Linked DNA regions of Coturnix japonica. The protein of the gene in region 4 purifies or fractionates together with the protein of the main gene of each other region. This does not show direct contact. Links are inferred from orthologs where the notes say so. Each region holds a gene or a part of one and is shown on either strand. Other genes may lie near its edges.

What was found.
Region 1: the proteins of EIF3F (region 4) and PRRC2B purify together in Homo sapiens (affinity purification with mass spectrometry; 3 studies listed by BioGRID and IntAct, counting the BioPlex papers as one, with this or other methods). This does not show direct contact. The link is inferred for Coturnix japonica from reciprocal best matches to the Homo sapiens genes EIF3F and PRRC2B.
Region 2: the proteins of EIF3F (region 4) and EIF4G1 purify together in Homo sapiens (affinity purification with mass spectrometry; 3 studies listed by BioGRID, with this or other methods). This does not show direct contact. The link is inferred for Coturnix japonica from reciprocal best matches to the Homo sapiens genes EIF3F and EIF4G1.
Region 3: the proteins of EIF3F (region 4) and EIF4B purify together in Homo sapiens (affinity purification with mass spectrometry; 3 studies listed by BioGRID). This does not show direct contact. The link is inferred for Coturnix japonica from reciprocal best matches to the Homo sapiens genes EIF3F and EIF4B.

Annotation. Positions count from the first base shown.
Region 1 is NC_029532.1:4,782,565-4,789,755, forward strand, and holds part of PRRC2B (protein PRRC2B), read left to right. Parts: intron 1-343; coding exon 344-448; intron 449-1,012; coding exon 1,013-1,205; intron 1,206-1,712; coding exon 1,713-1,810; intron 1,811-2,347; coding exon 2,348-2,475; intron 2,476-2,943; coding exon 2,944-3,184; intron 3,185-4,168; coding exon 4,169-4,345; intron 4,346-4,585; exon of another isoform or gene 4,586-4,677; intron 4,678-4,979; coding exon 4,980-5,071; intron 5,072-5,614; coding exon 5,615-5,735; intron 5,736-6,114; coding exon 6,115-6,255; 3' UTR 6,256-7,191.
Region 2 is NC_029524.1:13,908,690-13,916,480, forward strand, and holds the start of EIF4G1 (eukaryotic translation initiation factor 4 gamma 1), read left to right. Parts: upstream 1-2,915; 5' UTR 2,916-3,034; intron 3,035-3,873; exon of another isoform or gene 3,874-3,893; intron 3,894-4,200; 5' UTR 4,201-4,261; intron 4,262-5,183; 5' UTR 5,184-5,217; coding exon 5,218-5,292; intron 5,293-5,403; coding exon 5,404-5,490; intron 5,491-5,770; coding exon 5,771-5,803; intron 5,804-6,680; coding exon 6,681-6,701; intron 6,702-6,914; exon of another isoform or gene 6,915-6,993; coding exon of another isoform or gene 6,994-7,032; intron 7,033-7,283; coding exon 7,284-7,457; intron 7,458-7,764; coding exon 7,765-7,791. Other genes in the region: PSMD2 (26S proteasome non-ATPase regulatory subunit 2), read left to right, coding at 1-3, 155-282, 359-446, 571-733, 817-918, 1,005-1,150, 1,328-1,411, 1,574-1,741 and 1 more.
Region 3 is NC_029544.1:1,099,686-1,106,023, reverse strand, and holds part of EIF4B (eukaryotic translation initiation factor 4B), read left to right. Parts: intron 1-1,125; coding exon 1,126-1,269; intron 1,270-1,677; coding exon 1,678-1,886; intron 1,887-2,157; coding exon 2,158-2,274; intron 2,275-2,675; coding exon 2,676-2,730; intron 2,731-3,029; coding exon 3,030-3,173; intron 3,174-3,257; coding exon 3,258-3,368; intron 3,369-3,881; coding exon 3,882-4,052; intron 4,053-4,442; coding exon 4,443-4,677; intron 4,678-4,774; coding exon 4,775-4,893; intron 4,894-4,984; coding exon 4,985-5,162; intron 5,163-5,607; coding exon 5,608-5,672; intron 5,673-5,779; coding exon 5,780-5,846; intron 5,847-5,925; coding exon 5,926-5,998; intron 5,999-6,338. UniProt on the Homo sapiens protein: Required for the binding of mRNA to ribosomes. Functions in close association with EIF4-F and EIF4-A. Binds near the 5'-terminal cap of mRNA in presence of EIF-4F and ATP.
Region 4 is NC_029521.1:13,753,567-13,761,259, reverse strand, and holds the start of EIF3F (eukaryotic translation initiation factor 3 subunit F), read left to right. Parts: upstream 1-3,561; 5' UTR 3,562-3,583; coding exon 3,584-3,857; intron 3,858-3,967; coding exon 3,968-4,038; intron 4,039-4,114; coding exon 4,115-4,194; intron 4,195-5,134; coding exon 5,135-5,272; intron 5,273-6,333; coding exon 6,334-6,425; intron 6,426-6,637; coding exon 6,638-6,774; intron 6,775-6,887; coding exon 6,888-7,001; intron 7,002-7,624; coding exon 7,625-7,693. UniProt on the Homo sapiens protein: Component of the eukaryotic translation initiation factor 3 (eIF-3) complex, which is required for several steps in the initiation of protein synthesis.

The DNA.
Region 1 (7,191 bases), on a different chromosome or scaffold from region 4:
TGAGAAATGCTCTTTCAGAAACAAGTACTGTGTGAAGTTCAGGTAAGATCCCAAGTATGTGTCTTCTGCAGGTTTTATGTTACTGAGTCTAGTTGATGTTTAAATGGACATTGATGTAACTCTATGTAAAGGGTGTGGTTGCACACCTTCAAAACTCTGTTGATTCCATCACAGTGGAATAACAGTTCCACAATAACAGAGGGGATAACAGTTCAGTGCAGTACTTAACTCCTGCTCCTGAGGCTTGAATCCTTTGAGGTGTATTTACTTTAGCTGCCAGCTGAGGCTGTATTACCTCTTGAATTTCTCCTTGAATATTCACCATTCACCAATCTGCTCTCAGGCAGGGCTAACGCAGACCATTCCCATTCTGCGAAGAGATCATCACCTTCAGAGGTGCATTGGCCTGAATCCAATGTCCTTCCCCACCGCAGAACTTACTCTTAAGGTAAGTAAGCTGGCATATGTGCTTGTCCTCAAAGTGGGTACCTTGTCTGCTTGACCAGAGTAGTGAGGGTGGAGTGGTCTTTCTCCCTGTTTTTAGACACTGCTAAATCTGTAGGTATTTCCTGTATTAGTGAAGTATATTCGCTATTTATCATGGATGAAGAGGGATGAGTTCCAGCAGTCCTGGGTGCTGAAGTCCTCGTTAATTGTAAAAGTAAACATGTGGCAGAGCTTTCTGAGTAGTGACTGTCTCAATAAGTGAGTAAGGTGACTCATCAGTGATCTTAGACACCTGTTGTTTAAAAACAACAAAAAGCCAACAAAAAAGAAATACCCCTCCTTGCCACCCCGAGAACAACTTATCAAATATCCAGGGGGATACTTACCCTCAGGGAATGGATATGAAGCCACTTGATCAGAGATCTGTTAGCGTTCTACTCTGATTGGAGTGGGTTTAGACTGAATTAATAGTTTACAGATGAGCAGCTCTAGACCTCAGTATTATCCTCCATGTTTGAATTGTCTGCAGATAATTGTCTACAATTATCGCCCTTCATTTCCGTAGATGGAGTCTGCTCGTAAGGCTTGGGAAAACTCTCCTAGTTTACCAGAACAAAACTCTCCAGGAGGTGCGGGCTCAGGCATCCAGCCTCCTTCCAGTGTTGGAGCTTCCAATGGTGTCAGCTACAGCTCTTTTGGTGGAGTTTCTATGCCTCCTATGCCTGTGGCGTCCGTAGCACCTTCTGCATCTATTCCAGGTATGGAAAAAAAGAAACATACCTGGAGTCTGGTTCCTGGGTCCCAAAGGACCTCTCTTGAATGCAGTGAGAGTTCTTCTCATTTCTCAGTTCAAAATGGATAATGAGTCAGCCATTGTAGCTAATTTGTTTAGAAAACACTCTATTTCCAAGTTAGGTCATTTATTTCCCTCACTCCCACCCTGGCAAATTCTTCACCTCATTTTGTTTGGAGATCCCATGTTCAGATATGCAGGCACAGGAATGGTGTACTGCTTTCCTCTTGGTGCCGCTCAGGGTAAAAATGGCTTTTAGATTGCTTATGTGAAGGTCTCAAATATCCTGTTTGCCCTTTCTGTTCCTCCTAGCTACAGATTTGCGGTGATTGCAGAGCAGGTTTCTGGCATATAGGAAGAGTTTGGAGCAGAGATTGCCAGTTCCTGAGCTGTTAGTCTTAGTGGGCTGGTGGGTCTCTATTGGGTGCTGTGCCTGCACCTTAAATTACAGCCTCTCTTCTCTGATATTTAGGTAACCATATTCCACCCCTGTATCTGGATGGCCATGTATTTGCAAGTCAGCCCCGCCTGGTTCCTCAGACGATACCTCAGCAGCAAAGCTACCAACAAGTAAGGGAGACATGTAACTAGCTAATGTTTTTTCAAGAAGTCTTCAGGGTGATGTGTAAGAAACAGTGTTTATCTCTCTGATAGTCCAAGGGATCTAGTCCAAGTTCAGGTTGTGTATTAGGAAAAGATCACTTGCTAAGAGGGTTCTTGGAACAGACTCCCCAGGGACGTGGTCACAGCACAGAGTTCTAAAAGCATTTAGACAACATGGTTGGACATGTCATTTATTTTCTTTAGGTAGTCCTGTGTGGAGGGTAGGAGTGCAAGTAATTGCAAACTTGGTGCTCTGTGTGTGTACTACATTGGTCCCCTTATGTATCCATCAGATGCCTCTTGGAATACTCTTCTCTCTCAGGTGCCTGTGCAGTTTCTTTCCCTGCCATTGTGCTCCTCTTTTGTAGGAGGGGCTGTGCAAAGCTGCAGTATAGGTCATTGTCATGGTACGTTAACTTATTGAGGAAACTGATGGCTTTATAATAGCCTAGGAGAGATTTTGATTGCTCTTGTACCTCTCAGTGGTCTCAATTTCTTCCGTAGGCGGCTGCTGCTCAACAGATTCCCATTTCCCTCCACACATCCTTGCAGGCCCAAGCTCAGCTTGGCCTGAGAGGTGGTCTGCCTGTTTCTCAGTCCCAGGAGATGTACAGCTCCATACAACCCTTCAGGTAACTACAAGAACTGCTTACTGTTCTTGGAAGAACATACTGTTCCTTCAGTAAGAACTGAAGGAATGAGACATCCGCTTCAGAGTTGGGCTGGCTATGGGATTCATATATTCTCTACCCTGTGGTTTTTTTTTTATATTAAAGAGGGCAAGGGATCAAGGTGGTTCTTGCAGGCCTCAAAAATCTACTGGAGCTGGTTGAATCTTTTAATTCATGATTTCTGCTTTGCAAAACTTCTGGTAAATTGAGTCCTTCCTTTACTACTAAATCCAGAAGATACTGTGCAGAGTATTAATATGAACTTTGGATGGGACACACTGTCATTTTGTTGAAGACTCCTGCAACACAAGGACAGAATTGCTGAGAACTGTTTGCTGACTGGAAGCCAGATACCTTTTGTTAGGCATTGTGTTTGTAGTCTCCAAAGGTTTTCTACATAACAACTTAAGAACTGTTTTTCTTCTCCAGGTCTCAGGTGTATATGCACCCCAGTCTGTCTCAGCCCAGCACCATGGTCCTGACAGGAGGCACTGCTCTAAAGCCTCCATATTCCGCCTTCCCAGGCATGCAGCCCTTGGAGGTGGTGAAAACCCAGTCTGGATCTCCCTATCAGCCCTTGAATGGAAGCCAGACCCTGGTTTATGAAGGCCAGATAAACCAAGCAGCTGGTATGGGAGCCTCACAGATGATGGACTCTCAGCTTACACAGGTTAGGAGCAGGGCTTGCAAGTCTCTCTTTTATCACTTGTTTCTGAGACTGGGTTGTAACTAATAGCTGCGTTAAATCGTGTTTATATGAGCTCAGTTCATTGTAAAGAGGTAAAAGGCTTTTTCATGAGATTCTTCTATGAGCTGTTGCTTCAAAAATACAGCATCTTATTTAATGAGATTCTTACTAATTACTTGCATGTCCCCACTATGATGACCTTTTACACTGAGAGATGTCCTCACCCTCCAGACAAACGCTTTGTGCAGAATCAAACCTTGCAGTGCTTCCCAGGTAGAAGGCTCTGATGCGATGGTTGTCTTAAAAGTACTACTTCTAAGAGCCAGAGCCAGCAGGGTAATTTCAGCCTTAAGTTTTTGTTATTTTATCCCAAAGTGATGTCATGGTACCTCCCAAATGCAGCAGTTGCAATTACTGCCAGATAAATCAGAACAAACAGGAGGTTGTTGAGACATGAGCTGCTTCTTGTAAATACCCTTTAATTATTACCATAATCAAATTGAAATTCATTGCAGAAGATAGAAAGAGAACCATTGCTTTTTCTGGAGATGCTTTGGTGTGAAAGTAGAGCAGACTTCATGGCTGGGCTATTAAAGCTGCAAAAAGAGTGTCTGATGCTGTCAGATCTGTCTGACACTGCTGTTGGGTCAAGAGAAAAATTACACGTGCAGACAAGGAGGAAGATTGAAAAACTGGATGAAGGTTTTGTGCAAGGGGAAAAGTGCAGTTATGTTAATAAGCTGATGTGTTAAAAACCCAGCTGGCAGAGTGTCGGCAGTGCTACCAGCTCGTGATTTTTCAGTGTAAAATTTCCTCTTGATACATTAATTTGCATTTACCCTGTGCCAGACTGCACTATTTTTGAGATTCTTTGTAGCAATACTGTGCTTTCAGGATATTAGGAGAGAGCATCTCAACCCAATGCAGCAAACACTGCTACTTTAACTACATGTCCTTATCATACAGCTAACGATGCCTGTGCCTGGCTCCCAGCTTCCGCTGCCTCGTTATGGCTCTGGCCAGCAGCCCCTGATTCTGCCACAGTCCATCCAGCTTCCTCAGGGGCAAAACCTGTCTGTAGGAGCTCCCCGAAGAATTCTTCCTCCTGGATCACAGCCTTCAGTTCTTGCTGCCAGCAGGGAGGTGAGGATTAACTGCAGCTTTCCTCCTTGATCTTGCTTGTTAATGAAGAGACTAGCTTGCTGGGGATCCTTAAGTCTCAAACGCAATTACTGGTGTTAAAACGAAGGAGCCCTTTTCTTCTCATCTGGCACAGGCCAGCAGTCTTTCAGGTTTTACTGCTGGTCATCATTCTGTTTCCGGAGAGCCATATCTTGCCTCGATCCAGTTTGGAGTCTCCAGTTTTATTACGTGTTTACACAGGTTTCCCCAGAGTGCTTGAGGGGTGGTGAGCTCCAGACACAGTTGGAATACTGCCCAGATATTTCACACTGTTGTGAAGCTTTTCCATTTGAGTAGGTATATTAATGTCATGTCTGGCTTGATGGATTTGTATCATAAGTTTGTCTATTCTAGGGTTGAGAGAGTACAGCAATTAACTTCCAGGTTTAGAATTTGCTTGTGCTGCTGGCATGTTCATTTAATACAAGCAGATCTTTTTCACTTTAAACCCTAGTTTTCTTCATCTGAAAAATGTTTCTTCTTTTAATGGGCACATGGGTAGAAGGGCAGAAGTTTAGTTTAAGCATTCATATAAAGTAACAGACTTTCCCTAAAAGCAGAAATGATATATGCTCTTGCTCATTTTCCTCTGTAGTCCTCCCAAATGGAAATGAAAGGCTTTCATTTTTCCGATGGTAAACAGAATATGTCCTCTGGAGGCTCTGTACCATCACCACATGCATACAGGTAAATACTTACAGAATTTGGCCTCTGTAGTCAGAACGAGGGAGGAGTAGTGTTCCCCATTTGTGGCAACATGGTGCATATACATTATCCCTGTGTAAGGTCCACTTGGGTTTTCATGTGTAAAATTTGGTGTAGTCCAAATGCTTATATCAAAATGTTAACAGCTTTCGTTCTTGGTTAGGGACCAGTGTGTCTCTGATGTGGTCATTGATGCTTGTGGGAACTGTCTAAAGTTATTTGTTTTCAGCATTATTGAGGCAAATTGGAATTCTGTTTTTGTATGTTTCTCTTTAGGTAGAAAATTGGAATCACTGAGTAGATATTTTAGTTCCAACATGGTCTCATCTTTTCAAGATGAGAGTCAGTAATATGCAAACGTTCCTTCAGGTCACTAAGGTCTCCTTGAGACTTTCAATACTTCTAAGAAATCCATGTGTTTTCTTTTGAGCTGAATTCATGTGTTCAGACTCATGCTCTGTCTGTTGTTGCTTTTTGCTCTTTTTTTTTCTTTCACACATGAATAAGGTTCTTGTTCCATTGTAGAATTTACTCCATGAATGTTGTCGACTCTTCGATTTCCAGGCCTAGCTCTGCCAGCCCAAATGGGAAGCCATCTGGACCAGCAGTTAGTATGGGCTCTGTGCAAGGACACTATGTGCAACAGGTAGTGTATGTCAGTACTTTGACCCAGTAGTGTCTGCTCTTCTATAGCATCACCCTTGTTCCTTGTACTTGAGAGAGTGACAGTGTAGTTAAGAAGTGGAAGTTATATTAATTGCAGGGAAAGCAAGAGAGTGGACTGAGTGGATGCTGTACTGAGCCCATGAGTAATGCTCGGTGATGGGAGGTCACGACAAGTTAGATGGTTGCATGTCACGTGGTGCTTATGTTGGATATTTATATGGGCATTTGAGATCCTTTGTATAAGGTGTATTATGGTGGCAGACAGAGAAGACAATTGAATTCTGGAGCAAATTTGATATCTTGCATGGATGTTGGTCACCGATGTTTTTTCTAATGCTTCTTTTTCTATATGTCAAAAGGCAAAGCAACGGGTGGATGAAAGTAAAGCCAATCTGGGAGCAGTAAAGCTGCAAGAAACTGCCTCCACGAGCCAGATGAAACCAGTGCGCACAGGAGCGATCAAACCTCAGGCTGTAAAAGTGGAGGAAAGCAAGGCCTAGGAGCACAGCTGATGCCCAGCTGGTCCTGCTGGCTGACAGGCCCTACAGCTGAGACTGAACCCCACTGGATCTCCTGAAGATCTCACCAGACCTACACCTGCCCCACACTGAACTGACTACAGTGACATCATCCAAGTCCCTCTCCTAGCAAAGCAGTTTGAAACAGTGGATATGACATTGACCTGCTTGCTTTGAAACAAACCAACCATGTGACTTTTAAGTGGCTTAAGCCTTTCTCTTTTTTTTTTCACCCCCATGCCCCATCCATGGGTAGCTGTGATAGCTCACTTGGCAAAGCCCATCCTTCTCCTTCCCTACTTCTGTCTCAGCAGAGTGGCAACTGAAGGAGAGGGGGTTACTTAGAGGTTTTTCATTTTAAAGGCAGCTGAGGTTTTTACAGAGAAAAAAAGCTATATCCTTGTTTATAGCAGAACTTTTATATGTTCTCTCACTTCTTTTTCCCCTTTCTGCTTTCCTCATTTTTTCCAGAAGAGAAGTCCCATCGACTAAAACTATATTCCGACAGAACTCCTGATTTTTATATGTAGTTCTGTGCAACACTGAGAATCGATACTCTTCTAAATTGAGTTGGATTGGGTATATTTTCCCCCAGATAATTTAACCTTTCAGATTGAGTAAAAGCAAAGCAAACAACATCAGTACACTTACAGCGTTCATGAATTTTTCAGTGTTTTTTGTTCTAAGCTAGAAGCAGTGCTTGCATTAGAATAAATGTGTACTAAAGTATATAGTAGATCAGTGCATTAATCTTGGAAGTTGCACCATGTTAATTGTAGCTTTGGGGTGCCTCGTGCACAACAAAATGTGGCATTTTCGTTTTAAGGAAAAACGCACCAAACTTCTGTTGCAAGCTCCTCTGGATTTAGGGATTTTTGTTTGCTCGTTTTGTAGGTTTGAGATTTCTTTAGTGACTGC
Region 2 (7,791 bases), on a different chromosome or scaffold from region 4:
AAGGTGAGTGGCACTGATCTCAGCCCCATACTCACTTGGTACCAACCAGCCTGTCCTGGGGAGCAAGTGTAACCTGTGGGGTGACATGAGTCACTGGCTGGCAGGGAGCTCCATGTGGTGGTGGCTAGTGCATAATGGTGCCTCTGTTTCATAGTCGGGTGCCCTGCTGGCCTGTGGCATCGTCAACTCAGGAGTGAGGAATGAATGCGACCCTGCCCTGGCCCTGCTATCTGACTATGTCCTCCACAACAGCAACACCATGCGGATCGGAGCCATTTTTGGGTAAGGGTCTGCCCTGGCGTCCTTGGCTGTGTGGGATGGTGCAGCCATCCCTGACATTCCTCTCTGTTCTCCATAGGCTGGGGCTGGCCTACGCGGGCTCCAACCGCGAGGATGTCCTGACTTTGCTGCTGCCAGTGATGGGGGACTCTAAGTCCAGCATGGAGGTAGGGAGCAGAGCAGGGTGTGCTGCACGAGTCCCTGACAGCTCCTGGGGATGCTGGGGCTGGTTTGGGCTCTGCATGTCCTTGTGTGATGTGCTGTGCCCTAAGAACATGGCTCCCTCCCCAGGTGGCTGGTGTGACGGCCCTGGCTTGTGGCATGATATCTGTGGGCTCTTGCAATGGGGATGTCACCTCCACCATCCTCCAAACCATCATGGAGAAATCAGAGACGGAGCTGAAGGACACCTATGCCCGGTGGCTGCCGCTTGGCCTGGGCTTGAACCACTTGGGTAAGAAAGGGCAGCACTGGTGGTCCTGTGAGCTGGGACTGTGAGCATCTCTTGGGTGCCCTGAACTCTGTGCCTCTTCACAGGCAAGGGAGAAGCCATCGAGGCGATCCTGGCAGCGCTGGAGGTGGTGTCGGAGCCGTTCCGCAGCTTTGCCAACACATTGGTAGACATCTGTGCCTATGCTGGTGCGTTGAGCTGACCAAGGCTGAGGGAGGTGGGAGTGGGACCAGGCCTTCCTTCTGCTCATCCTTACCCACTGCTGACCTCACAGGTTCAGGGAATGTCCTGAAGGTACAGCAGCTTCTGCACATCTGCAGTGAGCACTTTGACTCCAAGGAGAAAGAGGAAGACAAAGACAAGAAGGACAAAAAGGAGAAAGAGAAGAAAGAAAACTCAGCTGACATGGGAGCACACCAGGTAGGAAAACCTGGGCTGGAACCTGCGGCCCAGGCCCAGTAGCTGCCCTGTCTGGAGTCAGACCCAGAGGAAGTGGCCCCAGCAGGATCCTCTGCTCTCGCTGTCCAGCTGGGCTGTAAGAGATTGCATTTGCAGTTGGTGGTCTCTGCCTGGCATTCAGTACTGGTGTCTCTGCAGGGTGTAGCAGTGTTGGGCATTGCACTTATTGCCATGGGTGAGGAGATTGGTGCAGAGATGGCCCTGCGCACGTTTGGTCACCTGGTGAGTGGCAGCTGGGGGACAATGTGGGGCTGGGAAGGGACCTGGATGAAGAGGGCAGATCTTCTCTCACATCTTGGCCTTGGTAAGCTGGGTTGTGGATGCCCCACCGTGCCCTTGCCCCTACCTGGGTTTTAATATCTTCTCTCTCTCTGTTCCATGCAGCTGCGGTATGGGGAGCCCACCCTGCGCCGTGCTGTGCCCCTGGCCCTGGCGCTAATCTCTGTTCTAACCCCCGTCTCAACATCCTGGACACCCTCAGCAAGTTCTCCCACGATGCTGACCCTGAAGTCTCCTACAACTCTATCTTTGCCATGGGCATGGTGGGCAGTGGTAAGCCTGGGTGGCAGCTTGTGTGTTATGGTGGGCAGCCATGGGACCAGGCCGGTGCCTCAATCCCTGCCTTCTCCAGGTACCAACAACGCCCGGCTGGCTGCAATGCTGCGGCAGCTCGCCCAGTACCACGCCAAGGACCCCAACAACCTCTTCATGGTGCGGTTAGCCCAGGTGATGATCCCACACTTGTGGTTGGGAAGAGATGGGGGTGGCTGTGGATGGGGGGGCCACCACGTGTTGCCCCACTTGTGCTCACGTGCTTTCTGTGCCACACCAGGGCCTGACCCACTTGGGTAAGGGGACGCTCACCCTGTGCCCCTACGCAACAGCGCATAGGGCAGCTCATGAGCCACGGTGGCTGTAGGCTGACTGTTGACCGTCCTCGTGTCCTTCCTGGATGTGCGCAACAGTGAGTAACGTGTCATAGAGTGTTTCATCCATCCCCTCCTTCCCACACTCACACTCTCCCTTTCATCCCCTTTCAGTTATCCTGGGCAAGTCCCACTATGTCCTGTACGGGCTGGTTGCGGCCATGCGAGGCCGCCGTATGTTGGTCAACTTTCGATGAGGAGCTGCGTCCTCTGCCTGTATCGGTTCGGGTTGGACAGGTGAGGAGCTGGAGCCTGATATGGGTGGCTGGGGGGGGTTATATCCCATAACTCCTCATCTCAGCATGCTTGCTCCTGCAGGCTGTGGATGTGGTGGGCCAAGCGGGCAAACCCAAAACCATCACCGGCTTCCAGACCCACACCACCCCTGTGCTGCTGGCACACGGCGAGGCGGGGCAGAGCTGGCCACCGAGGAGCACGTGCCCGTCAACCCCCATCTTGGAGGGCTTCGTTTTTTCCCCCATCCTGCGGCAAGAACCGCAATACTACGACTGTTGAGGGGGGCTGGGGGCTGAGTGGTTGGGGGGGGGGGGGAGAATGACTGGGGGTTTTTTTGGGGGGGGGGGGGTTGTTTTTATTTGTTACTGGGAGATGAGGAAATAAAGTCTGCGTGGATCGGTGCTGCTGTGCTGCCCTTCAGTTCTGAGCCTGTCCGTCGGGCAGCACCCAGCGCACCGTGCAGCTCCGAGGGTCGCGCTGTGTGTCCGTGCCCCCGCCGGTCCCTCCATTCACGTGACACGGGCGGGGGGCGGCGCTCGGTCTCGGTGCCGCCCGGTCGGTGTCCCCTCCCCCGCTGGTTGTGCCCCTCCCCCCGTGGTTGCGCTGCGCGCTGGCTCCGGAAATGGTCGTGCTGCGCTGCGCTGCGGCTGCGTCGGGCCGCGCGCGCTGAAGGAGACTGAAGGTAACGGGCGGGGGCGGGGCGGGAGCGCGCCGCGGGGGGGGGGGGGGGGGGGGGGGGGGGGGGGCACCGGCACCGGGACCGAGTGCGGCGGGGTGAACCGAACCGCGGCGTGGAACCGCCGGGCATCGCCGCGCCGCCGGGCCCCGCCGCTACCGCTACAAGCGCCGCCGCTACCACGTGGGCGCCGCCGGTCTGCACGCCGTTATCCGCGCTAAGCGCCGTCTCTCGGCCCCTCGTTCCGGTGTAGCCGGCCCGAGCGCCCGTTCCTTCCCCACGTGCCGCCGCCGTGCACGTGCTCCGCCGCCGGGCCCCGCCGCTCCGCCGCACGTGGCGCGCCCCAGCGCCCCGCCCGGGCCCGGTGTGAGGCCGCGGGGCCATGGCGGCGGGCGGCGGTGACACGTGTCCTTGGCACAGGCCGCGCCGCCGCGGGGGGGAGCGAAGCGCCGGGTGCCGCCCTGGGCCCCGCGCCGTGTCCCGCTCCGCTCCTTCCTCATCCCGGGGCCGCCAAGATGGAGCCGGCCCCTCCGGCCTAACACCCCCCCCCTACACACACACACACACACACACACACACACACACACACACACACACACACACACACATACACACCTCCCCTCCGCCCCGGGGTGAGTCACCGCCGCCCCGCTCTGCCCCGCTCTGCCCCCCGCCCGCAGCCGGTCGGGCCGGTCCGGGGCCGCGTCAGGCGGTGCTGGGGCCCGGCAGACGCCGCGGCGGCTCGACCCGGCCCGGGGGAACGGCCCCGTCATCGCCCCGCGGCGGGGGAGGAAGGACGGCACGGCGGGACGCGGGCGGCCGCACGGACACGGCGGGGGGGGAAGGCTGGAGGTGTCCGAGCCCGGTAGGCGGCACGGAACGGGCTCCGCGGGGCCTGAGCCGCCCTGTGAGCCGCGGGGCCCGGATCCCTTCGGGCGGCGCTTCGGGCCTGTAGGGCCGGGCCTGTGCCGCCTGCGGTGCGGCCTGAGCCCGCGTCTGGGGGCACCGAGCGGCCCCTCGGCTCGGCCCCGTGCCGGGGTTGGCGGCGGGGCGGGGCTGGGCCCGAGCGGGTCCGGGAGCCCGGCAGCGGGACCCGCGGCCTGAGCCGGCCCCTTGCGATGCCTCGGGCTGACTGTGTCTCTCCCCCCCTCTCTCCCCTCCTGCCGGCCCAGTCAGTCGGATGAAAGGTCTCTGCAGGCCCGATCAGTCGGCCCAGGTTTTTCCCGCGGGGGGGTGAGTATGGGGCGCCGTGCAGGCGCTTTGGGGCCGGGTTGTGGTGTCCCTCCCTGTGGGCCCGGCCTTGTGGTGGTGGTGGGCAGCTCGGTGTGTCTGTAGGCCCGGTGCCTTGGCTGTCCCAGAGAGCTGCTGCCCCTGCTGTACCTTGAATCCCTTTAGCCCCCCCCCATTAGCCAGCACTGTCAGTGCCCTGAGTATAGGATCGGGCCCCATCCAAGCACCTGGATGGTGTCAGGGCTGATGGCTGTATTTGGTGCTGCGGGTCCTTCTGAGGGTTGCTACCCCCACGCCTGGGGGGTGACAGGAAAGTGAGGGGGGTAGGCTGTGCCTTGCTCACCATAGGGCAGGGGGGCCAGCAGAGGGGCTGGGGGGCCGGCAGGCCGGCAATTGCTGACGCAGCCAGGCGTCGGGTTACAGGCACTGCTCGTGGGGCAGCCCTGCTGGCAGTGAGGCTCCCCCCCCTGCCCTAATGCTGCCATGGGACACAGGGACCCCCTCCATGGGCTGCAGCGTGGGGGGCACCTCCTCTCTCCTGCCCAGGTGCCCTTTGCACTCGGGCAGGAAGCGTGGAACATGGTGCCAAGTCCCTCCTGGGACCCAGCTGTGTCCCTGGAGGTGGGGGTGGTGGTGGTGGTGTGGTGGCATGGGGGGGACGTGGGAGCTGCTCCCTGCCCTCCCCGGTAGGCGTTTGCGGCATGAGCTGGGCTCCTGGCACCACCGGCAGGAACAGGTTTGGCCGGCCAGGGGAAGCGCTTTGTAGGTCAGCCGGGGTGGAGCCAGGGCACCCCGGCGTCAGCCTCTGTCCAACTCCACCCCAGCTCCTGGAGCTTCTCAGAGGGGCTGCGTGGCCCTGTTTTAGGATAGGAGATTACTGCAGGCTGTGAACACGATGCCATTTAGCTTATGCCTGTGCCTGCAGATAGCAAGGGGATCCTTATGCACAACCACATGAAATGAACAAAGCTCCACAGCCCACAGGAGGAGCCCCGACAGCCCCGCACCCTGCCCCTTCTCCCGGACTTCCACAGGTAATAGACGGCCCCTCCGATGGCTTTTGGGGGTGGGAGGTGCCCAGCTGCCTCTCTGATTTGGGATGAGGCTTCTAGAGGCTGTAGTGCCCACTGGTTCCCTCTATGCAGTCAGCGTTCCCACCTGGTCAGACGGCACCTGTGATTTTTAACCCGACACCGACCTCACAAATGAATACGCCTTCTCAGCCACGACAGGTAAGGGCTTTGCTATGGGGAAGATGAGGCTTTGGGGAGCTGGTTAAGATCTGCAGCCTCCTGACTGAGCAGCCCATGCTCTTCCTGGTTGGCCACAGCAGTGCTGGGGGCATGAGGATCCTGCCTTAGGGGGCTGGCGTGCACCTGCCCCCAATCTCCATCATGGTTTCCCTTCTCCCTGGCTCTGGGGTGAGGGCAGACAGCTCCTGCAGGGCACCCAACAAGTGACCGCTCTTTTCTCCTTCCTCCCCTTTCCAAACCTTGCTCTCTCCTCTCTCAGTTTCCAGCAGGGCCTCGTGCTATTCACCAGCAGGTACTAACCAGTCCCTACCCTGCATGCTGAGCGCCCGGGGCAGCCCCAGCACCTGGCGCTGCACAGAAACACTTGGGGAGAACGTGGGGAGCTGCACCGAGCCCCAGGGGGGAGCAGGCTGGAGGAAAGAGGTTCATTACTCAGTGGGATCAGCTGGAGGGGTTTCACTGCGGTGTCCCCGAGTTTCTTGGCTGCTTTTGCATGAAGTCTAGTGCATGTGGCTCTGCCTGTGCTAGTCCCAGCCCAGGCCTCTGCTTCTGCCTGTGCCCTTCTCCTCATCTTCTTCTTCCTTCTTTCTGTGGGGTGGAGTGTGGGGGGGGTCTCCTGAGGCAGCAGTTGTGTCACACTGCTGGCCTGTCCCTGACTAATGCAGTGCCCTGGGAGTGATAGTGTCTCTCTGCAGTGTACCCAGCATGTCCCTTAGGCTGTGGGAGGCTGCAGCCATGGTGGGGCTGGGACCTGACAGTGCCAGGAGGTGGACAAGGCCTTGTGCCCAGCAAGCTGGATGTGTCCCCCTGCATCCTGCCTGCAACGCTGCAGCTGTTGCCCCTGGGAGTTTGAGCAAAGCGCCTCATTCAGCTCCAAGGAACAGCTGGGCACAAACCTAGTGACATCCACACTGTGCTGGGTCCCCCTGGCTCCATAGGGACCTCCATAGGGGCAGGCAGCTCCCCGCGTCCCCCAGCATGGGTGGATCTGGGATGTGGCCATCACACTGGCAGCCTGGCTGCTGCTCCTCCATCCCACAGCACCACGCTTGCACTCCCACCCCGTCCCCTCTCACCACCCCATCCCCTCATCCCACCCCAGCGCGGCAGTGTAACTCCTGTCTCTCTCTCTTTCCCCTCTCCCTCTGTCTGCGTGCACTTGCTATCAGGGAGGATTCAGGTCTCTCCAGGTAATGCTTTCTCCTTGCTCCAGCCTTGCCCTGCACACCAGACGTGCAGACACCTCCTTCCCTGCTGCCTGTTCCCCAGCCCTGGGGTGCTGCCACCCAGTAAAGCAGTGCTGCAGGGGCTGCGTGTCCTGCACGTTGCAGCATGGCACAGTGGGACTGCAGGTCCCGGCATTCAGCGCGAGTGCCGGCCCCCATTGCAAGGCACGCTGGGACGTGCCGATGAGCTGCGTGCAGCCGTGGCCGGCTCCGGGCGCTGCCGGCCCTGCTGGGCTGGGAGTGGGCTGTGCTGGGCATGAGCTGGGTCGGATGGAGCCAGGTGGGCCCCCCACAGGTGTGTGGGGCAGTAGGGGGTGCCTGGAAAGGAGGGGAGGGGGTGTAAGGGGTGAGCTGCATTCTGGTGGGGGGGCTCCCCTCTTTAAATCTCCACCCAGGGGTGCTCCCTGTGCCTAGGATGAGTTTTGGGGTGATAGGTGCTGTGAACCTTCTGTCTGGGTTAGAGGGGGGGCCTGGCTCGGTTGCCTCGTCCCTTTGGCAGGGGGGTGCTATTGCTCTGGCCTCACTGCATCCCTGTCTCTCCCAAAGCATTTCTACCAGAACAGGGCCCAGCCTCCTGCCAGCGCGTCCCGCGTGCAGAGCAACACAACGGCCCGGCCTGGCCCTCCTGCCCATGTGTATCCAGCTGCTTCCCAGGTGATGATGATACCCTCCCAGATATCCTACACACCTTCCCAAGGAGCCTATTACATTCCCGGACAGGTGAGGGCTGTGCCCCGGGCTCTGCGGGATTGGGCTGGGGTGGGCTCAGGGTTGGAGCCCAAGTTTGTTCTGGGAGGTGGAGGGGGTTACCCTGGTTCTCTGAGCTGTCCCTGACTCCATCAGGGTGTTGTCCAGCTCTGCAGAGGGGCAGCACCTGTGGGGTTTTGTGGGCTAACCCTGGGTACTTGATGCTTGTCTTGTGTCCTGTGCCCTGCCTTAATGGCACGCAGGTTTGGGGCACGCACTGGTTTGGTATTTGCCTGTGCCCTGCTGGGAATATAACCAACTTTCTTCTCCCCTATTTCAGGGTCGTTCAACGTACGTTGTCCCAACA
Region 3 (6,338 bases), on a different chromosome or scaffold from region 4:
CTGGACAATGCTGGCCCCATGCAGTGCTCCAGCACCACCCCATGCACTGCTGGGAGCTGTGCAGCTCGATATCATCATGTTTGTGCAGTGCTGGGCCCTGTGCAATGCATGGTGCAGCGCTGCAGTGCTGGATATGTGTGATATGCAGTGACATCTGTGCAATGCTGGCCTCATGCAGTGCTCCAGCACCACCCCATGCAGTGCTGGGCCCTGTGCAGTGCATGGTGCAGTGCTGGACGTGTGATATGCACTGACATCTGGGCATCATGCAGTGCACCATCATCATGTTTGTGCAGGGCTTGGCTCTGTGCAATGCACGGTGGCAGTGCTGTGGTGCTGGTTGTGTGCAATGCACAGTGATATCTATGCAATGCTGGCCCCATGCAGTGCTCCAGCAGCACCCCGTGCACTGCTAGGACTCATACAGTGCACCATCATTGCATGAGTGTGCTGCTGGGCTCCGTGCAGTGCTTGGAGGCAGTGCTGTCATGCTGGCCCTGTGCAGTCACATCAATGTTCTGGTTTGGAGAAGCTCTGTGAGATTTTGGGGAGCTCTTCATGTTTTTGGACGTCTCCATGTGCTTTTGCTGACCCCCGTGTTGGTTTTGGGGAGCTTTGCATCAGTTTTGGTGATCCCTTTGTGTTTTTGGGGAGTTAAGTGAGATTTTGGGGTGCTCAACATGTTTTTGGGTATCTTCATGTGCTTTTGGCAATCTCTATGCCAATTTTGGTTGCCTCTGTGCTGATATTGAGGAGCTCTGTGCCAGGTTTAACAACCCCTGTGCCACTTTTGGCCACTCCTCTGCTGATTTCAGTGGCCCCTGTGCCAGTTCTAAGGAGCTCTGTGTGATTTTGGTGCCCCCTGTGCCAGTTTTACTGACCTCTATGCCAGTACTGGTGACCCCTGTGCCAATTCTGATGAGCTCTACGCCACATTTGGTGCCACCTGTGCCACTTTGGCAGAGCTCCTCACTGATTCAAGGCAGCTTTGTGAATGCAGGGAGCTCCGCATGCTCCCCTTGACCCCCACCCTCCTCCCCACATCCCATTGCCACCAATGGGAGGGGGGTCATGGGGTGCAGACAGAGCCATGGTGCCGATCTCGCCGCCCCCCCCACCCCGCAGCAGCCAAGAAGAAGAACAAGAAGGGGAAGACCCTGACCCTGACCGACTTCCTGGCTGAGGATGGCGGCAGCGGTGCACCCACCTACATCCCCAAGCCGGTCAGCTGGGCTGATGAGACCGATGACCTGGACGGCGACGGTAGGGGTGAGAGCGAGCCTAGGGCAGATACCGTCTGTTTTTGGGGGGCTACCATCCATGTTGAGGGGTCACAGTCTGCATGAGTTGGCCACCATCTATGTGGGGTGGCCACTGTGTATAACACATGACCACCATCTAGATGATGTGGCCACCACCTCTAGCCCACGGCCACCACCTCTTTGCTCTGGCCAAGCAGCCCATGGCCACCACCTCCACATTGTGCCCACCCTCTTTAGCCCATGGCCACCACCCCCATGTTTTGGCCACCCTCCCCTGCAGCTCTTGGCCACCTCCTGCAACACATGACCACCACCTCCACGCAGTAGCCACCCCCTGCATCCCATGGCCACCTCTTTTAACCCACCACCTCCACGCCATGCCCACCTCCTTCAGCCCACCCATTCTCTCCCACAGTCTCCACTGCGTGGCACAGCAATGATGATGATGTGTACCGGGCACCGCTGATCGACCGCTCGCTGCTGCCCACCGCCCCCCGCGCCGCACGCGAGCCCAACATTGACCGCAGCCGCCTGCCCAAGTGCCCGCCCTACACGGCCTTCCTGGGCAACCTGCCCTACGATGTCACTGAGGAATCCATCAAGGACTTCTTCCGGGGCCTCAATGTGAGTTGCATGGGGGGCACAGCACAGTGGGGTCCTTGAAGATCATAGAATCATGGGATGGTTGGGATGGAAACATCCTGAGAGATTATCAAACCATAGGATGATTGAGTTGGAAGGGTCCTTACAGATCATAGAACCATCTGATGGCTTTGGGTTCTACCAGATGGATTAAATGGGGCCAACAGGCTCACAGACAACCCCATGGTTTTGCTTCTGACCACAGGACAGTGGCCCTAACACGTTCCTTCCTCCTCCTCTTTCCTCCCTGCAGATCAGTGCTGTTCGCTTGCCGCGGGAGCCCACCAACCCGGAGAGGTTGAAAGGTTTTGGCTATGCTGAGTTTGAAGATATTGACTCCTTGTTCCAGGCGCTGAGCCTCAATGAGGAGGTGAGCTCAGGACCCCAAGTGTCAGCAGCAGGGCAGGCTCTGCACAGCCTAGGAGGCATCAAAGTGGCACCACCAAGTTTGGATCTCTCTGGGGCTGGCAGATCTGTGTGGGGAGGGCTGAAATGGGGCAGAATGTTGCCTTTAGGACCCCCAGGAGAACAGAATGTTGCCTTCAGAGTCCAAAGGAGAGCAGAACTTTGCCTTTAGGGCCCTAAGGAGAGCAGACTTTTGGCTTTTGGTTCTCCAGGAGAGCCCTGATGGTGCACAACCCGCCTACTCTGTGTTAAAGCATCACCTCAGTGTTGGCTCTCACTGATCCCTTGGGGTTGGGGCCAATATTTGGAGGTTGAGGCTGATTCCTTGGGTCTGATTCCTCGCTTTTTCTTTTTTTTTTTGCCCAGTCTCTAGGAAACAGAAGGATACGAGTGGATGTTGCTGACCAAGCTCAGGATAAAGGTGAGTCCCTGTCACACGATGGTACAGCACTGTGTGGTTCCAGAACGTCAGTGCTCCCTGCCACATGTGGGGTGCTGCACTATGCTCTGTCCCCAGCCCCAGTCTGATGCCACTTACTCTCCTCTCCCCTCCCCCTTTTCCTATTCCCTTTTCCCTTCTCTTTTCCCATTCCCATTCCTTTTCCCCTTCCCCTTTTTGCATTCCCTTGCCATTCCTCTTTCCTTTCCCTTTCCCCCTCCCTTTTTCTCTTCCCTTTTCCCCTTCTCTCTCCCTTTTCCCTTCCCCATCCCATCCTTCAGACCGGGACGATCGCTGTTTCGGACGGGACCGGGATCGTTTCCGGGACTCTGAGAGGTTTGAGAGCGACTGGCGTGCACGTCCCGCCGCCTCCGACAGCTTCGATGATTACCCACCGCGCCGTGGGGACGACGCCTTTGGGGACAGTGAGTCGGGATCAAGGCAGGAACAGGGACCCCTGGATGTGGGGTGCCGTGAGCCCTGACCCCACTGCCGGCCCCATTGTGTAGGGTATCGGGATCGCTATGATGATCGGTATCGCGACGGCCCGCGACGCGACATGGACCGTGGCTTTGGAGGCAGAGATCGCTACGATGATCGCAGCAGAGACTATGACCGGGGTGAGGCAGTGCTGCCACATGGGGGTGGGAGTGGAGATATGGGGAAATCCCAATAGTTGAGGGTGAATCCCAATAGCTGAAGTTTAATCCCAGTACTTGAAGGTGAATTGCAGTATCTGAGGGTGAACCTCAACACCTGAGAGTTAATCCCAGTATTTGAGAGTGAATCAAAATACCTGAGAATTAATCCCAGTATCTGAGGGTTAATCCCAATACCTGGGAGTGAATCCCAATATCTGAGTGTGAACCTCAGTACCTGGGTGACAGTCCCAATAGTTGAGGGCGAATCCCAATATTGAAGCTTAATCCCTATATTTGAGGCTGAAACCCAATAGCTGAGGTTGTGTCCTTGTATCTGAGGGTGAATCCCAGTGTCTGAGGGTGAATCCCAATAGCTGAGGGTCAACTCCAGCATCTTGAGGGTGACTCCCATTTACCTGTGGGTGACTCCCAATGGCTGTGGGTGAGTCCCCACACTGTGGGCACAGGGGGGCTGAGCTCTGCACCCCCCAGGCTACAACTCGCGCATCGGCAGTGGCCGAAGGGCCTTCGGCAGTGGCTACCGCCGCGATGACGACTTCAGGGGTGGCAGCGACCGCTATGAGGACCGCTACGAGAGGCGCGACGAGCGCTGGGGAGGGAGAGAGGAATACGGGAGGGATGAGTTCCGGCGTGAAGAGAGGGGTAATGGGGGCAGGGGAGGGGTAGGGCTTGGGGTGGTGGGTGGGAGGGGATGGAGGATGTGGGGTATGGGGTGGGGGTGTAGGGGGATTTAGGGTGTGGGGTGGGATGAGGGGTGTAGGGGGATACAGGATGTGGGGTTATGGGTGGGGGTGGAGTGACATTTAGGAGATGGGGTTGGGATTGGGGGGTGTAGAGGAATGCAGGATGGGTGGTGTAGGGGAATGCAGAATGTAGGATGGGTGATGTGTGTTTTGGGGTAGGGGGTGTTGGATGGGGGGCTGTAGGAGAATGTGGGATTGAGGGCACAGGATATGTGGACAGCTGCAGGATGCATTGTGTATGGGATGTGGGGGTGTTGGATACCCCCCAGCCCCATTTGCCACCCCACAGGCCCCACGCAGCGCCCCAAGCTGAACCTGAAGCCGCGCAGCGCTCCGAAGGAGGAGGAGAGCACAGCAGCCCCTGCACCGCAGTCCAGCCGCGCCGCCTCCATCTTCGGGGGGGCCAAACCCGTGGACACGGCCGCCCGCGAGCGCGAGGTGGAGGAGAGGCTGCAGAAGGAACAGGAGAAGCTGCAGCGGCAGCTGGAGGACGACAAGAGGCTGGAGCGACGGCCCCGAGAGCGGTGGGGGGACGCGGTGTTAGGGGGGCGCTGGGGGGTGGGCAGAGCTCTGCAGGCTGCCACGCTGAGCCGCATCCCCCCTCTCGCCCCCCACCTCCAGGTACCCCAGCAGCCGCAGTGAGGACAACCCCGAGCGGTCGCGGACGGGCAGCGAGTCCTCGCAGAGCGGAGCTGCCGGACCCCCCGGCACCACCGCCGGCACCGGCCCCACCGGCAGGAGTAAGTGTTGGGCAGGGGGCTGGGAATGGGAGACATGGGGGGTCTCATCTCCAGCCCTGCCTACCGCTGTGTGACCCCCCCCCCCCTGCAGCCACACGGAGGAGGGAGAGTGAGAAGTCGGTGGAGGGTGAGGAGGAGGGTCGTGAGGAGAAGCAGCCATTGAAGGTGATGCCCGCACCCCCCCCAAAGGAGAACGCGTGGGCCAAGCGCAGCAGCAGCACCGCCGGGCGCTCCCCGGGCTCTGACTCTGAGCAGCACTCACCCAGCAGGTGAGGGGTGAAGGGGGCCTTGCTATGGGGCTGGGAGCCTGGAGTGTTGTGCTGGGATCTCAGCACGAGGCTGGGAGCCCAAATGGTTCCCTGAGAGCTTGGTGTGGGGCTGGGAGCTCCAGGTGTTTTCCCTGCAGGGGTTGGGGGGCAGAAACCCAGATCTTCCCCTGCAAGGTTGGTGTGGGGCTGGAGCTCCTGCGATCAGTCCCCTATAAGGCTGATCACCCCCCACATTCTGATTCATTGTTGACCCCCATATCTGATCCCAGTGGCCAATGCCAATGGGGGATCCCCATATCTAACCCCACGGGACCAGCCCCAGTGGTGGACCCTCGTATCTGACCCCCATATCTGATCCCAATAGCCAACCCCAATGATTGACCCCCATATCTGACCCCACACCTGTCCCCCTTTCTCACCCCACTGTGACCCTCTGTCCCCCCAGCAGCCAGACGGCTTCCCGCCCACCTGCAGAGAACGGGGCTGCCCCGAGGAGCACCCACCGGAGAGGTGAGGGGGGCAGGCAGTGGGATGGGGGGCACAACTGTCCCCTTGGTGGCACTGAGGTTGGGGGGGGGACACAGCGTCCTCAGCCCATGGTCGTGTCCCCTCCCCAGGAGATGAGAACAAGCCGGATGGGGGCCGGGATGGCCCAAAGGCGCGCAGTGGGAGCTCAGCTGAGAGGTGAGAGCAGCTCATTAGGGTTAATGGGGGGGTGCCACCCCGTGTCACCCCGCTCAGTGACCTCCCCATCCCTCCCCAGGAAAGACAGCCGCAAGGAGCACGAGGCGAGAGCTGCGCCTGAGCCAAAGAGACTGGAGGACAGCCCAGCCACCGTGAGTGGGGAGGGGGAGCCTGACAGGAGCTGGGGGTGATCCCAGAGGGATTGGGTGGGAACTGGGGCTGATGGGACCTGACAGGACCTGTGACCATAATGGGACCCAACAGGACCTGGGTGTGAACCCAATGGGATTGGGTGGGACCTGGGTCTGATTCATTGACATTGGGTCCCGTAAGGGACCTGATGGGACCTGGGTGTGACCCCAGTGGGATTGGATGGGGCTGGAGGCAATGCCACACTCAGGCTGAGCTATGGAGCACAGCCCCAGGCTTTTGGCTTTGGAGCTTTGGGGGTTTTATGGGTTTTTCTATGGATATGGGGCTTTGGAGACCTTA
Region 4 (7,693 bases):
TGGCTACCTAACTTTTAAAATGTCAGGTGGGGTTTAAGAAAAACAAACTCAAAGCAGTACTTACCAAGGCTACAAAACATACAGATTCAAACCTTTGACAGATATCTTGAGACTTCTCACAAAGTCAAAACAATGTTTTTTTCCAGGTAAGCATCTCCTACCATTCAAAAACCTTGTTTCAGAAAAGAAGGGATTTGTTCCTCATATTTGCTAAAAACAATCAACCAACTGTAAGATGCAGAAATGCAGAAGGCTGTGGTTTTTTCTGTATTTAAGCTAGCACGCACTTAATAAACCCAACCATTCTGTTAAAAGATTCTACATAATATTACAAGACACATACAGCCAAAAAGTATGAAACCAGCACCTACATTTTAAAACTAGGCAATTTATTCATATTTGGCATAGGGAACTGCTAACATCCGGAAAGGAGTTTTACAGTGTTTTCAGACAGAACCCAATGTAGACTTGAGAATGAAAGTAATTTCTAGACAGAGCTGGCAGAGGGATGACTGGGCCTGGTGAGAGATGTGTCACACAAATTCTGCCATTGGCACAAAGCAGCCTTGCTGGCAACTATGGAAACAAATGACCGGGATGGTATTTCAGTGATGGATCAGCTCTCATTATTTGTTCCAATGCAAAAAAAAAAAAATATGCAAATGGTTGTCATCCAGAATAGTACGTGGCAAATTCCAAGTGTTTGAGAGAATTAGGACAGAAAATCCCCAGAACATCTAAAACCCACTCTGGAAAAGTTGAACTTCTCAGGTCAAATTACAGTGGGCATAAGAAATCAGTTGTGAACTTGCATCTGTGAACAAAGTCCAGATTTTCATAATGGGGCTGAAATTCTCATCAGAACAGCGTAACCACTGTGTTTGTGTAGTCCCCTATCTGCAACAGTAACCAATGCTAAACAGAGCAGTGAGGGCTTACGATTTTGCTGGAGTGCTGAGCAGCTTGGAGCCAGCTCTCTGTGCAGATCACTCAGCCAAAACTGATCAGTTAAGACTGACTGGCTAACAAAATACAGAAGGTGAATTTATATATGTCAGTGCTTTGAGCATTTCAGATCTAGAGACAGACTAAGACAGCATTTTGCAAAAGCACCCCTTGCAAATACTACTACTACAGCTAAAGAATTACGTAAGTTTCATGTTGGAAAAACACTACAGAAATAGCTACTTTCCTCCTCCCAAGTAGGCTGGACTGACTCTTCTTCCCTTTCTGAAATTCATTCTCTAGGTCAGGAAATGCACCCTCCAGCTTCCTCTCAAAGCTGTTTCCTTAAAGATCAGAGACTTCCCTGCCTTTCCTCAGCAGATTGTCTGTGGATGTCCCCTATACAAACCTAGCCAGTCAAATATATGGGTCAGATCTGACAGCTGTGGAAAACCAAAACACAAATGTTAAATGACTTCCCAAAGTCAGTGGCAGACATGGGAGTGAAATAACACTAATTGTTATGAAACACTACATTGGAAGAGCAAAGATACTACCCAAAGCACACCTCTGCCACTCCCTCAGTTACATGAATGGCTTGTCCAACATAACCCAAGATGCCAGCAACAAAACCACAATGGGCACTCAGGACTCCCAAGCTCCAGTATAGAAACCATCCCCTAAATTTTATTGCTTGAGTTCCTTTTCAGCTCCTACTGTATGCAAATGAAAATCTTTTAACCTTCTCTCTCACTGCCCCCCTATATTCAGCACAATGTAGCTGCTTTATGCTAGAATAAATAAATAAATGGAATGCAGAGCTGTGAACAGTCAACACCATCTGACTCTGACAGCATAAAAACCACATCAGAGTTCACAAATAAGAGCCCTGGAGTGCACAAAATAGCAGCATTTTTGCCATTCTCTCTCTAGGCAGGTTCCTTACACTATTTAGATGAAATATGGATTTCCCAAACTAGTCACTTCCCTTCTGCACGCAGGTTCCATCCCAAGCCACCAAAGCAAATGTTTGTGCTGGCAGACACAAACAGCTCCAGTCCCAGAGGTCTGCTGAGGCTGGATGTAATTCTGGTCTGGGCTCCAGTGGATGGGAAGTGCTGATGTCAACCCAGAGAACACTGAGGAAAGGACACTCATCCATGAGAAGCAAAGTTGGAAAATTGTTCTATAAGAACAAAGGGCAGGGAGCTCTGCGTGGGGCCGCGCCGCCACCTGGCGGGGACGTGCGGGGCTGCATCTGCTCGAGCGGCTGGGGGCTGGATTGGGATTTCCATTCTAGCTTTAACATCAGCAGCTCCCCATGTCAAACAGGATCTCTAATAATTAAAGTAGCCCCATAAAACATTGCAAAAAAAGTGAGGAACGGTTTGAATTCCTTCTGCTAATATGAAGACATATCAACCAATGCATTATACTAGAAATTAGGCTGCCAACAATAGCCGTTCATCTACTAGCAACCACAAGTGAACAGGAAGCAGAGGAGTATCCAAAACACTCCATTGAGGCTGAATAAGGAAACTACCACTTAGTTTTAATTTAAAACCCAGAAGCCACTGACCATCACTACTTCATACTAAAGCCCCAGAGAAATCCTAGTAGCAATTGGATGGACCAGTATGATAGAAAAAGCATTACAAAAGAGATGCAATGATAAAAGGACCAACACAGTAGAAAGGTGCTATAAAGTAAGAGAAGATTGCTCACCTGTATCAGAAAATTCTAGGTTTGCAGCATAAAGCTTCACTAAGGAGAGATCTCCAGGAAAAAACCCTTTACTAGCAGCAGTCAGCCCTTAAATAAGGTCTAAGAGAGGTGCAGGCAGGCTGCATCCCCTCCAGGCACACAGCTGAATTGCCTTCACCTGTGCTCCCAGGGCTGACCAGTCCTTTCCCCAGCTGTTCAATCAGTGGTTCAGGCCGTGACTCAACACTTACCATACAGTCCTGAAAAACACAGATAACCAACAGCCAGCCAAAGCATTGGCAATATGACCATGAGAAATGGCAGAGAGGGAGTTCCATGAACACAGTGAGAGCTGGAGACACAGACCTGATGTTCCAAGCAGGAAAAGAGACTTCCATTCTTTGATACCAACAGATTCAGAAAATCAGTCTTGCTATTCTTTTTCCTAATTATGCTTATCTACATGAAATGCATATTTTATTTTACCTGTAATTCAATGCAATATTTTTAATGTACTCTAAGGGGTTTTTCGCCTCTCAACAAGAAATTATGTTTATTCCCATTGCACAAGCAAGATGAGACGATAGCTACTGATATAGAAATTATATATCAGCTGTGAAGATGCAGCCGACATAACAGCACATGCAAAAGTAATGGCTCAGTGACGTGTAAGGGCTGTAAAAAGAAATCACACCAGAGAATCACAGAATTGTAGGGGTTGGAAGGGACCTCTAGAGATCATCGAGTCCAACCCCCTGCCAAAGCAGGCTCCTACACCACGTCACACAGGTAGCACAGCTCTGCCTTTGGCAGACAGGAGCTCAGCGCTGCGCCAGCCCATGAGGGGGCGGATGCTCACGGAAGTGGCGTATGTGACAGGCGTTCCGATCAGCCAATTGTCGTGGCCGAGGTCTCTCCCCTTTCTCTTCGCAAAATGGCGGCTCCTGCTCCCGCTGTGGCTCCGGTCCCTCCCGCTGCCGCCCCGGCTCCCAGCCCCACGGCTGCTCCCACTACACCCACGGCGGCCGCGCCCCCTCCGCCCTCAGCCCCGGCGGCACCGCCGCCCTCCGCCCCGCTGTCCGCCGCGCTCTCGGGTCCTTTCCCCGGCGGCCGCGTGGTGCGGCTGCACCCGGTGGTGCTGGCCTCCATCGTGGACAGCTTCGAGCGGCGCAACGAGGGCGCGGCGCGGGTCATCGGGACCCTGCTGGGTAAGAGCCGCAATGCCGCAGCCCCCACTGATACCGCCCCACTGATACCGCCCCACTGATACCGCCCCACTAAGACCAATACCGCCCCACTAACCGCTGTCGTCCCGCAGGCACCGTGGACAAGCACTCGGTGGAGGTCACCAACTGCTTCTCCGTCCCGCACAACGAGTCCGAGGATGAGGTACGGTGTGGGGGCTATGGGGGATGTGCCATCGGGGCTCCTGCACCCGCTGACTCGGCTCTGTCCCCTTCCCCAGGTGGCTGTTGATATGGAGTTTGCCAAAAACATGTACGAGCTGCACAAAAAGGTGTCTCCCAGTGAGATCATCCTGGGCTGGTGAGTTCTATGGCCACAGGGAAGTGCGGGCAGTTGTGCAGGTCCCTCAGATACCTCAGATCTGTCATTGCTGTCAGAGGCTGGAAAGCAGAAGCAGCAGTGAAGTCGTGCCATCACTCAGGATAGGAAAGGATGCTGTCGCAGACTTAGAGCGTTTTTGGTTAGTCTAGAAGAGCTGTCACAGACAGGAGGGTTGGGAATGCTCATGGATCTATTAGAATGCAGTGATACAGTCTGTAAGGTAACTAGCTGGAGGGAGAACACAAAAGTACCAAAGGGCTGGTGGGAAACGGTGATGTTAGCCTGAACACAAGGGTGTTCTCTGAGTAAAGGTGGAAATACCTGTGATGGGGTGTTACAGGAAAAGAACTCGTTTGTGCACGGATAACTGGCCTCGTTTGTCTATTGACATCCTCTCTGGCCCCTTTCTATGGAACAAAATCCTACAAGCGCAGAACTCTTGGCTTCCTCAACAACCCATCATGGCACAGCAAGGTGCAGTTCTCATGGCAGTCGCTTTCCTGTGCATGCAAGAAGTTAATTGCGGAGCAATTGAAGGAGCGAGATGAACAAGCCCTGCCTCCTGCACAGGGGTGTTTAATTTGTTTAAGATTTACTTTGCTGGTCCAAATTTGCTTGGCATGCTTTGATTTATAAGGAAATAAAGATTTGGCCCAGAGCATAGTGACAAAAAACTGACTCTTTTTGATGGTAATACAACACTGACCCTGTGCATGTTTTGGGCATGTGTGCACTCAGCCTATAATTCTAGGAGAGCCATAAAACTACACATGACCTAGTTATAATACTAGTCTTTACTATGTGTCTGCAACTCAGTGCTTGGACATCAGGGTTTTAGAATACAGACCTGTTAAATACCAACAAATACTGGGCATTTGAACATTAGAAGAGTGGTCTTTCAACATTTGCTTTTTCCAAGGTACGCAACAGGTCACGACATCACAGAACATTCTGTCCTGATCCACGAGTACTACAGCCGGGAAGCACACAATCCAATCCACCTCACTGTGGACACAAGTCTCCAGAACTCACGCATGAGCATTAAAGCCTATGTCAGGTACATGGGGACAGGAACTGTCTGAATTACTAACAGATATTGTATCAGGATGGCACCTACAGCTTGATAGTGTTGCTTAGAGCCCTATCCAGCCTCGAATGCCTACGGGAATGGGGCATCCACCACATGTCTGGGCAACCTGTGCCAGTGCCTCACCACCCCTATTTTAAAAATGTTCTCTTTTTGTCCAATGTAAATCTCCCCTCTTTTAGTTTGAAACCATTTCCCCTTGTCCTATCACAACAGACTCTGCTGAAGAGTCTGCCCCCCTTCCTTCATATAGCTTCCCCTTTAGATATTGAAAGGACACACTCAGGTCACCTCACACCATTCTCCAGGCTACACAGCCCCAGCTCTCAGCCTGTCCACGTAGCAGAGTTGTTTCATCCCTGGGATCCTATTTGTGGCCCTCCTCTGGATGCACTCTAATAGGTCCATGTTTCTCCTGTGCTGAGGACTCTGCATCTGGATGCAGTACTCCAGGTGAGGCCTCACCAGAGCAGAGGGGCAAGATCACATCCCACTCCCCGCTGGCCACGTTTCAGGATACAGTTGGCTCTCTGGGCTGCAAAGCATGTTGCTGGCTTGTGTCCAGCTTAACATCCATGAGTTCCCCCAGGTCCTTTTTGGCAGGGCTGTGCTCCATCCTTACATCCCCCAGGTTATACTGATAGCAGGGGTTATCACGACCCAGGTGCACTTGGATTTATCAAACCTCATGAGGTTTACCTGGGCACACTGCTTGAGTCTGCCTAGGTCTCTTCAAATGGCATTTTATCCCTCAGACATGTCAGCTTCACCAAGAAGACAGTACTGAACTCATCATGCGCTTGTACTGATAAATGTCAGACCAGCTAGGAATATTTTTGGATGAAAATTTGCAGTTAATAATATACCTGTATTGATTTCCTGTCCTTGGTTATACATGGTATTAATATTGCTGATTTTACTGACAGTGAGTAACCTATTCGTGTTCACACTGTAGTGCTAATAAAGATCATTGAGATGGAAAATTATTTCCTTTCAGATGTGTCCATGCTGAATTTATGTGTTTTTCCTAGTGCCCCAATGGGAGTCCCTGGTAAAACTATGGGCGTGATGTTCACACCACTGACAGTGAAGTATGTTTATTACGACACAGAGCGGATAGGAGGTGAATGCTTTATTCCTATTTTGGGTCTAACCATTGTCGTGATACTGTTCAAATGCTGTTTGGTTATTAAGCCTGGTAAAATTACCACTCTGGGGGGGAATTAAACTGTCTCACTGAACCTGATGCTATCCTAGAGAGTATTGAACAAGTTAAAGTTTTAAGCTGCTTTCTGTGTCAGTCGGATTTCTCAGTGATCCTGGTTTTGCTTTCAGTGGATCTCATCATGAAGACCTGCTTTAGCCCTAATCGAGTGATCGGCTTGTCCAGTGACTTACAGCAGGTGGGGTCAGCCTCAGCCAGGATTCAGGACACCCTGGGTATGGTGCTACAGTATGCAGAGGATGTACTGGTAAGGCAGACTTTATATGAGACTGAAGATAAGTTTGACATAAGATTATGCATCTGTTTTTATGTTTTTATTACTGAGTTTTACTCATGCTGAAGTGTGTTTCTTATGCATAGTCTGGCAAAGTGGCTGCCGACAACACCGTTGGGCGTTTCCTGATGGATCTTATTAACCAGGTGCCAAAGATTTCACCAGAGGACTTTGAGACGATGTTGAACAGCAATATTAATGTGAGTTCATTGTCTGATTTCTAAGCGTATTGCCAGCAATTTTGAAAATATCATACAGACACAATTTTGTTTATGAACAAAACTACCTTTTCATACCAACACGGTCATAAAAAATACAGCCCTTTCTTGTCTCTAACTTTATGTTTTAAGAGCTGAAGGTGGAGAAGGGAGCTTAAGGATAACTAGTGACTTTCCCTGCCTTCTCTGCCTGACCTGAAGTTCTGTCTCATGACAGAGCACTTAAGAACCCAAACAAGGTTATATTGTGCTACTTTATTTCTGTAATGGATATTTGGAAAGCTGAGTTTCTGAATCTGTTATTTGCCCGTAGTCTGCAAGACCACAACTAATTTTTAATTTTGCTTCCACCCTTTGACTCTCCTGGTTAATACTGGTGAACTCTAAGTTAAAATTTCACAAGTGCTGCTTCATGTTCCAGGAATACCAACACTTTCTTCCTGTAAGGGAAGCATTCCTCAGGGTAGGACGTTCGGGACTAACAATAGTTCCAGTAGCTGATTGTAAAATGCTTTACAGGAGGCGTTAAAGATTCACATCTCCATACCAGGCTCTCATCTTTGTTAAAATTTCTGATGACTGTTTTTTTTCTTTCTTTCTCTCAGGACCTTCTGATGGTAACCTACTTGGCAAACCTCACACAGTCACAGATCGCTCTCAATGAAAAACTTCTG